Linked DNA regions of Coturnix japonica. The protein of the gene in region 1 purifies or fractionates together with the protein of each later gene. This does not show direct contact. Links are inferred from orthologs where the notes say so. Each region holds a gene or a part of one and is shown on either strand. Other genes may lie near its edges.

Region 1 (5,170 bases):
TCATCACAAGATGTTCACGATTCTCATGGGTCTGCAAGGGAAAAAAAGCAGTGGTGCGTTACTTCAGAGCGTGCAGATCTGATGATGAAAGGTCTGTCTGCTACGGAAGCACAGGGTAAGGAGAGAGAAAGAGAATTCTGGAAGCACAGAATCACCACAGTTGGAAAACACCTCCAAGATCACGCAGTCCAACCATCCACCTACCACCAATATTTCCCACTAAACCACATCCCTTAGTACAACAGGGTGCAGGCCCCATCCATCTGCTGCTTCTCTTGCTTTTCCTACTCTCCACAGGCACAGTGAAGAAACCAGAAGTGAACGTCCTTCCAGCAAGCCATGAGAACTCAAACTGCAGTTTTCCTGTGCTGATCTTCAAACTTAGTTTCTGACCTTTTAGTGCCTGGTCTGCCTTTTGCCCCCCTCCTAAGTTCTAGCCTGTTTAGGCATTAAGGACGCTTACTTTGGCCAAAGGGTCCAACACCTTTAGCAAGAGTCATACCTGGAAGAGCGTGAAGCCACGGTAATACTCAAACAAAATGCAGCCAGTACTCCAGACATCACACGGCTGTGCCCAGCCCAGCTCTGCAAAGAGAATAAAGCTATCTTTGTGCTCCCAGCAAATCCCAGCAGCTTTCCACTACCTCCTTAATGGAACTGAGGCTCCCACAGCCTCAGCAGCACTCACCAAGGATCACTTCTGGGGGACGGTAGTGCCGGGTAGCCACGATAGTCGTGTGGTGCTCGTGATCGAAGGTGGCACTTCCAAAGTCTGCCACGCGGATGCTCGTGTTCCGGATGGATTTCTCCTCACAGCTCTGCAAGCAAACAAATCCTCAGTGCTCTTAATAGCTGGTGGGGGATTGAGGTGGGCTTTCCAAGGAGCCCTCTGTCCCTAGAACTGTGTAGTCCACACTCTTAACCAGAACAATGACAACTATGAAGCTCTGAGATATTTACATCTCATGTCACTGTCACAGAAAGCTGCTGAACTGCTGCTGTGGACTGAAGCCACTGAAGCCTTAAGGCTCTTAAAAGACATGGGAGAAAGAGGCCTGGCTCTACAGGACTGATACAGGACAGGGAAGATCTCATTTCTGCAGGGAGGGAGACGCAGGCTGTGCCTGGTTTAGTCACTTCAGACATAGCTCACCTTTTTCTCATTGTACAGAGTATCAAAGTCAGAGTTGACAAACAAGATGTTTTCTGGCTTGAGGTCAGTGTGAGTCAGCTGGTTGTCATGTAGAACTGCACAGGTGGGGAAGAAGAGAGGGAAAAAAAAACATGTAAGAACCACAAACCAAAGCACTCATAGGGCTGTGCCCATCAGAGCATCAAGTCCAGTCATGTACTGGACATCTTCATGTAAGGCAACTCCTCGCCTCCCTCCCAACCCATTTTGATGAGGCATGGTGGCCTAACTGTGGACTGAGTATTTCTGCTAGAGGAGGCACAGAAGAGCTTACAAGGCTCTCTTCCATTCCTATCAGAAGGAAAAGGAAGCAAATTTATAGACTACCACTCCATCCCTGCTTTGCTGTCCACAGAAATCAGCATCTCTTGTCTTTCTTACAAGCTTCAGCAAAGGAGCCAGAATACTCTGTAAAAGCAAAACCAGCAGGTACTGGAGGACAAGCAGCTGCTGGCAGCTCCAGCGGCTGTCCCTGTGTGACTCACATTTCAAGGCATGGCAGAGCTGGTAGGCCATGTGCCGGATCTGAGGGAGAGGGTATGGCTGGAAATTGTTCTCCTTCAGGAACTCAAAAGTGTTCTTGCCAAGAAGTTCAAAGGCAATGCACATGTGGCCGTGGAAGTTGAACCAGTCCGACATCAGGACACACAAGCTGTACAGAGAAGAAGACACGAGGATTAAGCATCATTCAGAGACTCGGCAATACAGTAATTCTCCCAACTGTTGCTAAGCAAAAGCTCTGAGCCAGCTGACTTGAAAGCACAATAATCCAATTTGCACACCCCTTCTCCACTTCGCTCAACCACATTTACATTAAGATCTCTAATACTCTGACTCTCGTGTCAGAGTAAGTTGTGGTTAATTTTTCCTCACTCTAACCCAGCATGTCAGCTGTTAAGATTTCAATAAACAAGTTTATAGCACAATTAGGCTCTCTTCTTCCAAAACATGGAGGCATAAGACAGGTTTCCCCTCCTAGGACAGCAATAATTCCAAACTTACAATTTGTTCTCCTTATCCTTCTCTTTGATTTTCTTCAGGACGTTGATTTCCAGCCTGGCAGCCTCACGGTACTTCCCAACATTTTTAATGATTTTCAGTGCCACCTGCGATTTGCCTCTGTAAGAGAAGAGACAAAGGAGTCAGAGCAAAAGCTGGTACTGCCTGCTATCTGTGTTCCATGGGGCCGTGCAGCAGCCTTTAGGGCCCATACTAAGAAATACAAACAAGCACGAGAAGGAGACGGCCTTTAGCAAGCACAGGACGAGTTAGTGATAGCACACAGAAAGCAGCGAGGTCGCAGGGTAAGAGATTAGATGTTCTGTCCTTGCCCCAACCTTGACAAGTGCTTAAATACCCGCAGAAATTTGAAGTGAAAGGCTCAAGTAACACCCTGAAGAGAGCTGCAGCAAGCTCTGCAAATACACCACGTCCTGACCCAGCAGTCCCTGAGGTCACTGCCACCCCAGCAGACACCTCCTCTCTCCAACTGCGCCTGAGAAGGAGGGAGATCCCAGCAGCTCCCGCGTTAAGCTGACCCTGGGGCTCAGAGCCAGCTGAAAGGTTGGGAAGAGATCGGGGTCAAATGTAATCACAGGAGAGGACGAAAAAAGAAGCGCCCTGGCAGATTAAGAGGCTGCTTTCCCATCTGGCTGGCCCAGCCCTGGAGTTCCCTGCTTTTACAGTAGGGCAGTAGAGCAGCCCTGTGCTGAAGCTCTCAGCATCAATCTTGCCACCATCACGAGGCTTTGGGTTTACAGCACGACGGACAGACAAGGCACTCGGAAATGGAAGCCGCCTACCTGGCGTGGTCTACACACTCCACGACTTTGCCAAAAGTGCCTTCTCCAAGGCTGCCGACTATTTCATCTAGGAGAGAAAACAGGAGCAGGTGTGAACTTGAGGGGAGCACTGAGAGCTGAGCTCCTGCAATTCACAGCAATAAAGTGGCAAAACAAAAACGTCTCTGACTGCTACGCTCTTTAAAACTCAAGCGGCTATTGGCTGCCTCAGGCAATTTACTGCTCGGTCCATTTATAAGCAATAAAACACTAGGAGACCCCTCCAGTACAATCAGAGAGATCTGGTCTAACACGGGGATAGAAAGTAGAGGTAAAGTTTTACGAAAGGTGGCTGTACATCGCTCTTGAAGCCAATCGCCGATCCTGCACACCAGGTGGCCTTCCTTGTCATCTTCCACGCTCCTGCTGCGCTTACTGCTCTGTTGGCTTCTCTGTACGCACCGCCCCCCGAAACGGCATACGACCAAGTGCGCACAGCGGGCAGTTCCGAGTGGCAGATTGGGTTGTCATTCAAAGGTGGAGACGACGGTGCGTCGGTGGTTGGATTTTCCAGATCCCAGCATTTCATAAGGCACACAGCATATATAACGATAGGGATATTGCAAGGGACACGTCAAGACACAAAACTAACTTCAAAACAGAAAAGTCATCAACAGCTACAGGTATGTAAAGAAAACTCTCATTAGCTACAGCCTCTCCTGAGCAGGGAAAGGCCCCCCTCTTCTCTGCAGGGCAGCAACTGGGGAGCTCCAGGCACTGGCTCGGCACCACCGCTCCCCCAGGGTCTGCACTGAGTTGTGGCACCCTCAGGGGCACCAGGGAAGGCCCCAGAGGCACAAGGAGGAGGAGGAGGAGGAGGAGGAGGGCTTTGCCAGAAGGACGTCATTTTTCTCTGCTGTCAAACACGTAAACGAGCTGGACAGGCTGCCCAGTAGAAGCCAGAGTAGCAGTTGTCCCCAGCACCCAGCCTGCTCTCTTATACCTTGGCTAACGGGTCCTCAGAGCATCCTGCCACTTCTTAACAAGGTTGATCCTCCATCTCTATGCCTGACTGGCTGCAGGCAGATCTAGCATTGCTCTTTTTCCTTAGGGTGTAATTTTAAGCCTGGAAGAACTTTAGGAACAGGTCAAATAGATCCCCAAGGAGCATTTCACTCCAAGTGTCTACTACAGGTACAAGGTCACATTTACTCCTGCTACTTCTAGCTTCTACTGGACAACCAGCCAAATGCTCCCAGAAGGACCAGGTCCACAAAGAGAGCTGTCCTAATTCCTGATCTTTTCCATTTAGCCTTAAGAATGGAAACAAAGCTCTACATTTCCATGCCTGGACTTCTATCAGGCTTGTCTTCTGTACCCCCTTGCCCCAGTCCAAAATGAGAAGCTACAGACCCCCATAGGTAAGCTGAAACAGAGAAGGTAGAGAGGAAAGAGGACAGTTGAGAGAGAGCTGTGAGACTTCAAAGAATTCAGATCACATCAACCCAAACCTGAACGCTGGATCACTGCACACAAACCACACTGTAACATTTTAGTCACAGCCCTGGCTCTTTCTAAGGCAATAATTAAGAAGTCAATGGGAAAGGAGGGAGAGGAGAAAAGCAACAGACTGTCTGGAGTTCCAAGCCATGCAGATATTCACTGTAGCTGCAGGGATCAGGACTCGGTCGCTTAATTGTAATCATGGTTAAAAAGAACCAACGTGCACGATGGAAACTTTCCTTACTGGAGAGAAGTGAGGCGCACACACAGCCCGATACCTCACAGCACTAACAGGACGTTCGGGGGACAATCCTCCCTACCCAGAGCCAAATATTTCCACCTAATCCTCCAAACGGCTTGGGAAGAAACACCCCGTTCTGTTAGAACCAGGGTGGAAAACAGCCATGTTTTCAAAGAAAGGGAGGTCTGAGGAGAGCTGCGTGGAACCAGGCAAAGAGGACACACGTATTCTCAGAGGGTGGAGGCCTCTGCTAAGCACGGTGGGATGGGGGTAATGCCAAGGGCTAATGGCTCAGAAGAACGAGGCTCGATACAGCTGGCTGACCCCATTGGGTGAGGGATACTGGCACAAACCCAAACCAACATGCCCTCACGGAGCACTCCGTACCACCGCTGCATACCAAATCCCTTCCTAGAAGCACAGATAGGCCCCTGCTGCGTGTAAACCCACACA
Region 2 (4,206 bases), on another chromosome or scaffold:
CATGTGCTGAGGAACAGGAATGAGAACAAAAGCACGCCTCTGGGTAACGCTGAGGATGCTTTAGCCCATGTCCCCTTTGTACTGCATGCACAGTAACATCAAGAGAGTAATGGACCATGCACTGAATACACGTGTCAGGTACAACATTCAGATGCATGTCCTATGACACTGCACACATCTGCTCTGCACAGATGCAAGAGCAGCCGTGGAGTGGGTTGCAGCTCTTAGAACACCATCATGCAAATCAGTTGTACCTGAGTGAGCCAAGATGGCCTGAGTACAACACAAAAGGCAAGAACAGGGCAGATCTCATCAAATTCAAGCCCTTGTGCTTAATATAAAGTATGCTGAAGGAACAGAAACAATCTACAAAGCAGCACACACATAGCAGTATCAAGTCAAAAAGAATGAGGAGAACGAATGGAAGGAACCACTGGATGTGTGAAATGCACGACCGAGAACAGACACCAACACTGCAGAGCTCAGTATCACAGACAAGGGGCTGTCTTAAAAGAATTCAAAGTACCTTATTTTAATTTCTTGACATGGTAAAAGTTTACATACTTTCATCTGGCAAGGAGAGCTCAACAAATTAAAATAAATCAATACAAAGAAACACAAGGGGGAGTGCTGCTCCAGGACAGCAGCTACAACGCAGTTGGTTTGTTACAGAATATTTATTAGCGGGAAGACTAAGAGTTGACTTACTACAAACAACAACAGAAGAGTCTACAGCAAGGGCTGGTGGCCCTCCACACTCTGGGGAAATCCCTAGGAAACCAGCAAGAGACAACATGGCTCTTAGAGGTGGAAGCAGAAAAAAAATAGTTTTAAAAAAAAAAAAAAAGGAGAGAAATTTCATTCCATTTGTCACTGTTGTTACAATGAAGTTAACACAACTATTAAGGCTACTGCACAATAAGAATATATGGGTGTAACAACAAGACCTGGGAAACAGTGAGGTTCCAGAAATAAATGATTTAACATTCCCTGAATATGGGACTTAAGTAGAAATATTATAAATAAAAAATTTGGAGCCTGCAGCATTATGGGATCACTTCCCACACACAAAAACTGACGCAACACAACCAATCATTTCCAAAGGGGTTTGTAATGGACCATGAAATGTTCCAGCAGCTTAGAGGAGTCAATAGGCACACAAGGGTGCTCTTTTGCAGGGGAAAGAATACAAGGTTTGCAACGGTACCAGGTAGGAATTGGCCATCCTCACCCCAAGCACTATTGTCACAGCTGGCCTGCTGCGCCTGGACAGCAGGAAGCACTGCCAGGAGAAAGCAGGTTGCAGTCTGACCACACATGGAAGCTATCAGGAGTTTAGCATCACACCTCTGGCTCCTCCTTTCTCAGCCTGGGCAAAAGCAGCTCATACCAAGGAGGCATGAAGACTCCCATGAAGTTGGTTTTAACCAAGAAAGTGGCTCTAGTCAATTTGCAGACTGGAGCAGAAGCCATATGCGCTCACAACCAGCCAGTACAGCAATCAGCCCTAGTGACAAGCACAACCTTCAGCTCTGCATTGACCCGCTCAGAACCAAGGCAGAGACAGATGGGCCACGCTCTACTGAGTCAAAAAAGCCACAAAACGATTACAGGCCTCTCAGTGGCACTGCAACGTGGCTGTGGCCACCAACCCAGAAGGGGCAGGATCCTCTGTCTTTGCAAATAAGTCAGTGCAGAGCATAGGCAGAGGGGCTCAGCTGCAGCCAGCAGTGAAGAGAGCTGGCTTTCAGCCACTGCACCACCATCCAGGCTTAGTCTTGAGCTGAAGATGGTCTGCCCCATTCACAGAGACCACAGAGAAGTCTCCAGCCAAGAGATGGGACAAGACAAGGGCCTGATCTCTACTGTAGCTCCTACTCAGGTAGGAAGAAAGGCATGAAGGAATGTTCCTGCCTGGCTGGCGCTCTGCTCTCACTCTGCAGTAGCCTCTAGGGCATCCCAAAGCAGCAAGGCCTTTTTCTTTACCAGATATACTAGAGGGAGGGAGAGCTCCTGAGACCTGAATAAAACCAATCACAAAACTAGGTGATAATTTCTTTAGATTTTAACTAAGAATGCAAAACTATTTCCAGCCAGTTTCCCATCTCGATAGTCATGTAACAAACCAAGGCAATGACGGTCTTTAGTTGACTGAACAGTTCTCAAGTTCAAACGTTGACACTTAATAAAGGGTCTCAGCATTGCTGCTCCGAGGCCTCTTGATCTTCTCAATGTTTTTAAGGATCATGTCATGCAAAGTGACCTGCAAAAAGGGAGAACACAACTCAGAAATGAAGGGGGGATGTCACTTAGCATTCAGGTTTCACAACCACTGACTTGAACAGTTTCACAGCTCATCCTGGTACTACTTTCAACCCCTGCCTGCAATCACATTTCTGCTTAAAATAAGTGCTTTCTTCCGCAACACTTTAGAGAAGCTAATGTGTGCAATACAAAAAAGAGAAGACATCAAAAGAATGGTCTGTACTGCCTGAAGAATTTAGGATTGCAGCAGCGCTCCTAGAGCAGTGTACTGAATATTTTGCACTCAGCTCCCATGAATACTCAAGTTGGAAACATCCACATCTCTGGGAGATGGTGGGGAGCCAATAAACACTTAGCTCTTGTTAGAGCCAAAGCAGACTGGGGAAAAGATAGGCTTCTCTCCAGGACTAGCTGTAATCATAGGGAAAGAGGAGAGCAGTAGAAGGATCAAAAGGACTCTTTCTATTATGTGGGGAGCCAGTGAGAGCTCTGTTTTTTCACTTACATATTGATTCCTCAGCTCTGAAATGATCAGGCGCAGACTAATATACTCCTTCTCATCAATCTCTGTCACTGTGCGCCGGTAGTCCTCCTGCAGAAAACAGATGCATGGCTAAGAGGCCTGAGCTCAGGTGTGCTTGATACATGGTATCAACTGAAGGTCCTACCTTTTACAAAGGAATCCCCCCTTTCAGTTTCCTCTTCTCTAATGAAGATATTCTGCATATTCTTATATAGCCCCCCCTTTTCCCACAGGGCCCCTAGCTCAAAATTAAGACAGTGATGAAGTAGCCTGAAGAGTCCCAGAAAGCAACAGCATGTAAACTGTAAAGCACCACTTCCCCATTTACTTACCACATGAGGGTATTTAGCTATTTTGGAAACCAACTTGGCTCTTGTGATATAATATCTGTTAGGAAAATGGAGACTACAAATCAGACAAACAGTACCAAGATTCTTCCAGGCACAATCTGCCCCAGCAAAGCTGGAGGACCTTCCCCAAAAGGTTCCTTTTCCCAGCAGCACTCCCAGAAAGGGCTCTGTTCCTTCATACCTAGAAATCTGGTCCAGATAGGATGCTGCCTCACTCTCCACAGTTCGAAGTTCAGCAACTGTTTCCTCCTGCAAAGGAAGCCTTTTCATGATACTGAAACTGCCCATCGCCGCTCTAGAAGTACCAGGTCGTAGCAGTTCCATGTCAAGCTTAGATTTGGATCTTAAAACCTAAACCAACTCCACCACTGCAGACATTGGATACCATCAAATGATTTGGAAGAAACCTAAAGGTACATGCTCTTGGGGGCATAGTTCCCTGCCACAGTAGGGCATACAGCCTGTCAGTGGTTTACAGGCTGGTTCAGCCCGGTTCCGTAACTAGCAGGGCAGCAGTACACACAGACCCACACCCTGGGAAAGGGAAAAGGGAAAAAAGGGGAGAAGGGTAGAGAGATGGGCCTTAAAAGAAAACAGCAACAGTCTGATGAGAAACAAACTAATTTACTACATCAGATATCAAAATGCAAGATAACACACTATAATACAAGACCACAACATAGCCAACAATATCTTACCTGAATAGAAACACCAAAGTTGTTTCCATCTTCTATCCTGGGAATTAGAAGTTGCACCCACATTTTGACCTGCAATAGAAAGATCACTATATAGATCACTGTCAAGATTTTTACAGGATTCATACCACTGTCATTTATAAAATACAGAGGAACCTGCTCCTTTTCTCAGAGAACCTTCACACAAGCAAAGGAGCAAAAGTATTCTAGTGCCCCCATCTGCTCCAGAACTCAGGGCTGTGGCCCACACCCACCGTATTACACTTCTCGATAAGCAGCCTGATCTCTGGTTTCACTTTCTCAATGATGTCCACCAGCTGCTGGTTGCTCTTCAGCATCCCATTGGGCATCACAAATACTTTGGTACCTACAG
Region 3 (3,750 bases), on another chromosome or scaffold:
GTCCCCAACCAGCACCATGTCCCCAACCAGCACCATGTCCCCAACCAGCACCATGTCCCCAACCAGCACCATGTCCCCAACCCAACTTGATGACCCCAACCCAACACCCCATCCCCATCCCAACTTGATGCCCCCAACCCAACACCACGTCCCCATCCCAACACCACGTCCCCAACTCATCCCAACTCAATGTCCTCAACCTAACCCAATGTCCCCAACCCAACATGATGTCCTCCAACCCAACAGTGCCATGTCCCAACCCAATGCAATGTCCCTGATCAAACCCAGAACATTGTCCCCAATAAAGCACAATGTCCCCAACCCAGCACCATGTCCCCTATCCAACCCAGCACCAGGCCCCCCAACCCAGCACAACATCCCCACCCCAACTTAGCACCATGTCACCAATCCAACTCAACACAACATCCCCAGCCAAGCACAATGTTCCCAACAAAGGCCCATGACCTCAACCTGATGTGATGTCCCCAGCTGAACCTAGAACAATGACCTCAACCCAGTGCCATGTTCCCAACCCAATTTGATGGCTCCATCCCAACACGATGTCCCCAAATGAACCCAAATCAATGTCCCCGACACAGTATCATGTCCCCAACACAGCATAATATCCCCATCCCAGAGCAATGTCCCCAGTCCAACATCCCCAGCTGAATCTATACAACAGTGTCCTCAACCCAATACAGTGTGCCATGTCTTCAACCCAACATGATGTCCCCAATGCAACCCAATTCCACACAATTCCCCCATCCCAATGTGATGTCCCCAGCCCCAGCAATGCCCCTGGGGGTCTGCTGCCCCCATGGTGGCCTCTGGTCTCCTCTGCCTTACCTGGGAGCAGGCGCCGTGCCGGGTGCAGGGCGCAGGCTATCGGAACAGGCGTGTGAAGTCCCGCAGAGCCCAGCAGACCTGCTTACATTCCTCCGCACTGCAAAGGGAGGAGGTGTTAGAGGGGTGGGAGACACACAGGGACACATAGGGGGCTGGGGTCCCATGAGATACTGGGGTGTGGGCTCTGATCCCAAACTGAGGTCTGCAATTCCATCAGATATTGGGGTCCAGGCTCTGATTCCAAATTTTAGTCTGTGGTCATCAGACACCAGGGTATGGGATCTCATCTCAAGATGGGGTTTGGGGTCCCACCAGTTATAAGGGTCAGGGCTCTGATCCCAAATTGGGGTTTGGGATCCCATCAGATATTGGAGTCTAGGGTCACATCAGATATCAGGGTCCAGGCTCTGATCCCAGATTGAGGTCTGGGGTCCCATCAGATAATGGGGTCCAGACTCTGGTCACTAATTGAGAGCAAGGCTCCCAGCACTAACTGGGGTCTCTGGGCTCTCACCTCGTCACCTGCTTGTGGAAATCTGTCAGCTGCTTGTGCGTCACCTGGATGGCCCCCCCTGTCGTCTCCTTTGGCAGTGCCTTCAGGGAGTTCTCCAGCCACCGACAGAAGGTCTGAAGGGAGGGGAGAAAAGTGAGAGGAGGGTACTGTGCTCCCCCTGGGTCACTCTGTGGGATGGGGGAACATGGGGACACCATAGGGATGTGGGTGACACAGTTATGCAGGGACATGTGGGCACACGTAGGGACACAGGAATGTGGGGACATGGGGACACAGAGAAGTAGGGATATAGGGATACAGGAAAGCAGGGACATGGAGATGTGAGGGACATAAAGGATATAGAAACACAGGGATGTGGTGACACAGGGATGTGGAGCTGCAGAGATATGGAGATGGGGGGATGCAAGGACACAGGCCCATTGAGGACTTGGGGACATGGGTATGTGAGGAACATAGGGATATAGGGACATGGAGATCTGGTGGACATGAGGGTGTGGGGACACTGAGATTTGGGAATGTGGAGGAGCTAGGGGTATAGGGACATGGGGACACAGAGATGCGGGGGACATGGGGACACAAAGATGCAGGGATCTGGGGGATGTGAGGATACAGAGATATGGGTGACACAGGGATAAAGGAGCGTGAGGATGCTGGGGATATGGGGACAAGGACATGGGGATGTTGGAGACATGGGGTTGTGAAGACAGAGGGGACGTGAGGCTGTGGGGACAGAGGGGACATGGTGACGTGTGCTCACCGCGCGGTCGCTCTGCATGATCTCCCAGAGCACCTCGGCCACGTCAGGCAGTGTGTAGGGTGGCAGGCAGAAGCAGCAGGTGTGCAGGAGCTGCGAGACGAGCTGCTGCCCCAGCTGCCGCAGCACCTGCGCTATCAGCTCCGTGCGCAGCTCAAAGTCCTCCTCGTGCTGCAGGGGGATGAGGTATGAGGATCCCGAGCCTGAAACCCTAATCTTAACACTAATCCTAAAACCCCAAACCAGAAACCACAACCTTCAAACCCTAACTCTAAAACCCAAACCCTAATCTTAACCCTAACACCCTAAGCCTAAAACCCTAAGCTTAACCCTAATGCTAACCATAACCCTAAAACCCTGACCCTAAAACCTTTATCTTCACCTAATCCTAAAACCCAAACCCTGAGCCCGAAACAAGTCCAGCCCCACAATTCTAACCCTTACTCTAACCCTAAAACTGACCTCAAACCTTCACTCCCTAACCCTACATTTCTAGCCATAAATCTCTGACCCCACACCATCTTCAATCCCAACCCACCATCATCTCCACATCATGCCATCCCCAAATCTCCAAACCCTAACCCCAAAATTCTAACCCTAACCCACATCACCTCCAACCCCAACTTCCTCTCTTACCCCAATCCTATGTCCCAACCAGTCCCAAATCTAACCCTACAACCGCAACAAACCCAATCCTACATCCTCTCCCAATACTACATCCTCTTTTGACCTCCCAACCACACATCCTCTTCCAATCCCACTTCCTCTTCCAATCCAACCTTATGTTCTCTTCCAACTCAAACCCATATCCTCTCCCAATCCCACATCCTCTCCCAACTCAATCCCACATCCCCTCTCAACCTATATCCTCTCCCAATCCCACATCCTCTCCCAATCCCACATCCTCTCCCAACTCAATCCCACATCCCCTCTCAACCTACATCAATCTACAATCCCACATCCCAACCCAACCCCACATTCTCTCCCAACGTCACATCCTTCCCCGTGTTCTCTTTCAACCCCAAATCTCGGCTCCCTGTCCCCTTCCCCCCATCCCACCCCACTCACATCATTGGCCACCCCGGTGTGCACGAGGTCACGCAGGAACTTCATGACGCTGCAGTTGGCGTCGCGGTGGTCCAGCGTGGTGGCGGCGATGGCCCATTGCAGGATGGGGATCATCACCTGGCTGCGCAGCAGCGTCACCGGGCTGCGCTGGATGAACCTGGGGACAGGGACAGTGCCACGGGGGCGGGGGGAAGGGGGGTGGGGGGTACAGGGAGAGGAGAGTGTGGGGATATGACATGGGGATGGAGTGTGGGGACGGGCGGAGCATGGGGACAGAAGGATATGATGTGGGGAGAATGGGACAGGGGGGTATGGGTACAAAGGGATGGGGGGATATGATGGGGGGGGCAAGGGGGTGAGGACGGGGGGATATGGGTACATTGGGACAGGGGACAATGGGTTCTGGGGAGAGGGATAGGAAGATATAATGTGACATGGGGTCAGGGGGATGTGGTGACAGCATGTTATGGGGATATCATGTGGGACAGGGAAACAAAAAGGAGATGGGGATGCAGGAAATGGGGGACATGGAGATGCGGGGACATGGGTATGCAGGGACAGTTAGACA

What was found. Proteins that work in one complex are often made in the same cells at the same time.
Region 2: the proteins of CLK3 (region 1) and PSME3 purify together in Homo sapiens (affinity purification with mass spectrometry; 5 studies listed by BioGRID and IntAct, counting the BioPlex papers as one, with this or other methods). This does not show direct contact. The link is inferred for Coturnix japonica from reciprocal best matches to the Homo sapiens genes CLK3 and PSME3.
Region 3: the proteins of CLK3 (region 1) and TNPO3 purify together in Homo sapiens (affinity purification with mass spectrometry; 4 studies listed by BioGRID and IntAct, counting the BioPlex papers as one, with this or other methods). This does not show direct contact. The link is inferred for Coturnix japonica from reciprocal best matches to the Homo sapiens genes CLK3 and TNPO3.

The regions. Positions count from the first base shown.
Region 1 is NC_029525.1:1,796,364-1,801,533, forward strand, and holds part of CLK3 (dual specificity protein kinase CLK3), read right to left. Parts: intron 3,426-5,170; coding exon 3,332-3,425; intron 3,062-3,331; coding exon 2,995-3,061; intron 2,312-2,994; coding exon 2,195-2,311; intron 1,845-2,194; coding exon 1,678-1,844; intron 1,249-1,677; coding exon 1,154-1,248; intron 819-1,153; coding exon 689-818; intron 586-688; coding exon 503-585; intron 32-502; coding exon 1-31. UniProt on the Homo sapiens protein: Dual specificity kinase acting on both serine/threonine and tyrosine-containing substrates. Phosphorylates serine- and arginine-rich (SR) proteins of the spliceosomal complex.
Region 2 is NC_029542.1:4,666,807-4,671,012, reverse strand, and holds the end of PSME3 (proteasome activator complex subunit 3), read right to left. Parts: intron 4,201-4,206; coding exon 4,088-4,200; intron 3,906-4,087; coding exon 3,837-3,905; intron 3,388-3,836; coding exon 3,320-3,387; intron 3,176-3,319; coding exon 3,121-3,175; intron 2,858-3,120; coding exon 2,771-2,857; intron 2,264-2,770; coding exon 2,183-2,263; 3' UTR 508-2,182; downstream 1-507. UniProt on the Homo sapiens protein: Subunit of the 11S REG-gamma (also called PA28-gamma) proteasome regulator, a doughnut-shaped homoheptamer which associates with the proteasome. 11S REG-gamma activates the trypsin-like catalytic subunit of the proteasome but inhibits the chymotrypsin-like and postglutamyl-preferring (PGPH) subunits.
Region 3 is NC_029516.1:719,993-723,742, forward strand, and holds part of TNPO3 (transportin-3), read right to left. Parts: intron 3,340-3,750; coding exon 3,183-3,339; intron 2,286-3,182; coding exon 2,118-2,285; intron 1,474-2,117; coding exon 1,361-1,473; intron 944-1,360; coding exon 883-943; 3' UTR 847-882; intron 1-846. UniProt on the Homo sapiens protein: Importin, which transports target proteins into the nucleus. Specifically mediates the nuclear import of splicing factor serine/arginine (SR) proteins, such as RBM4, SFRS1 and SFRS2, by recognizing phosphorylated SR domains.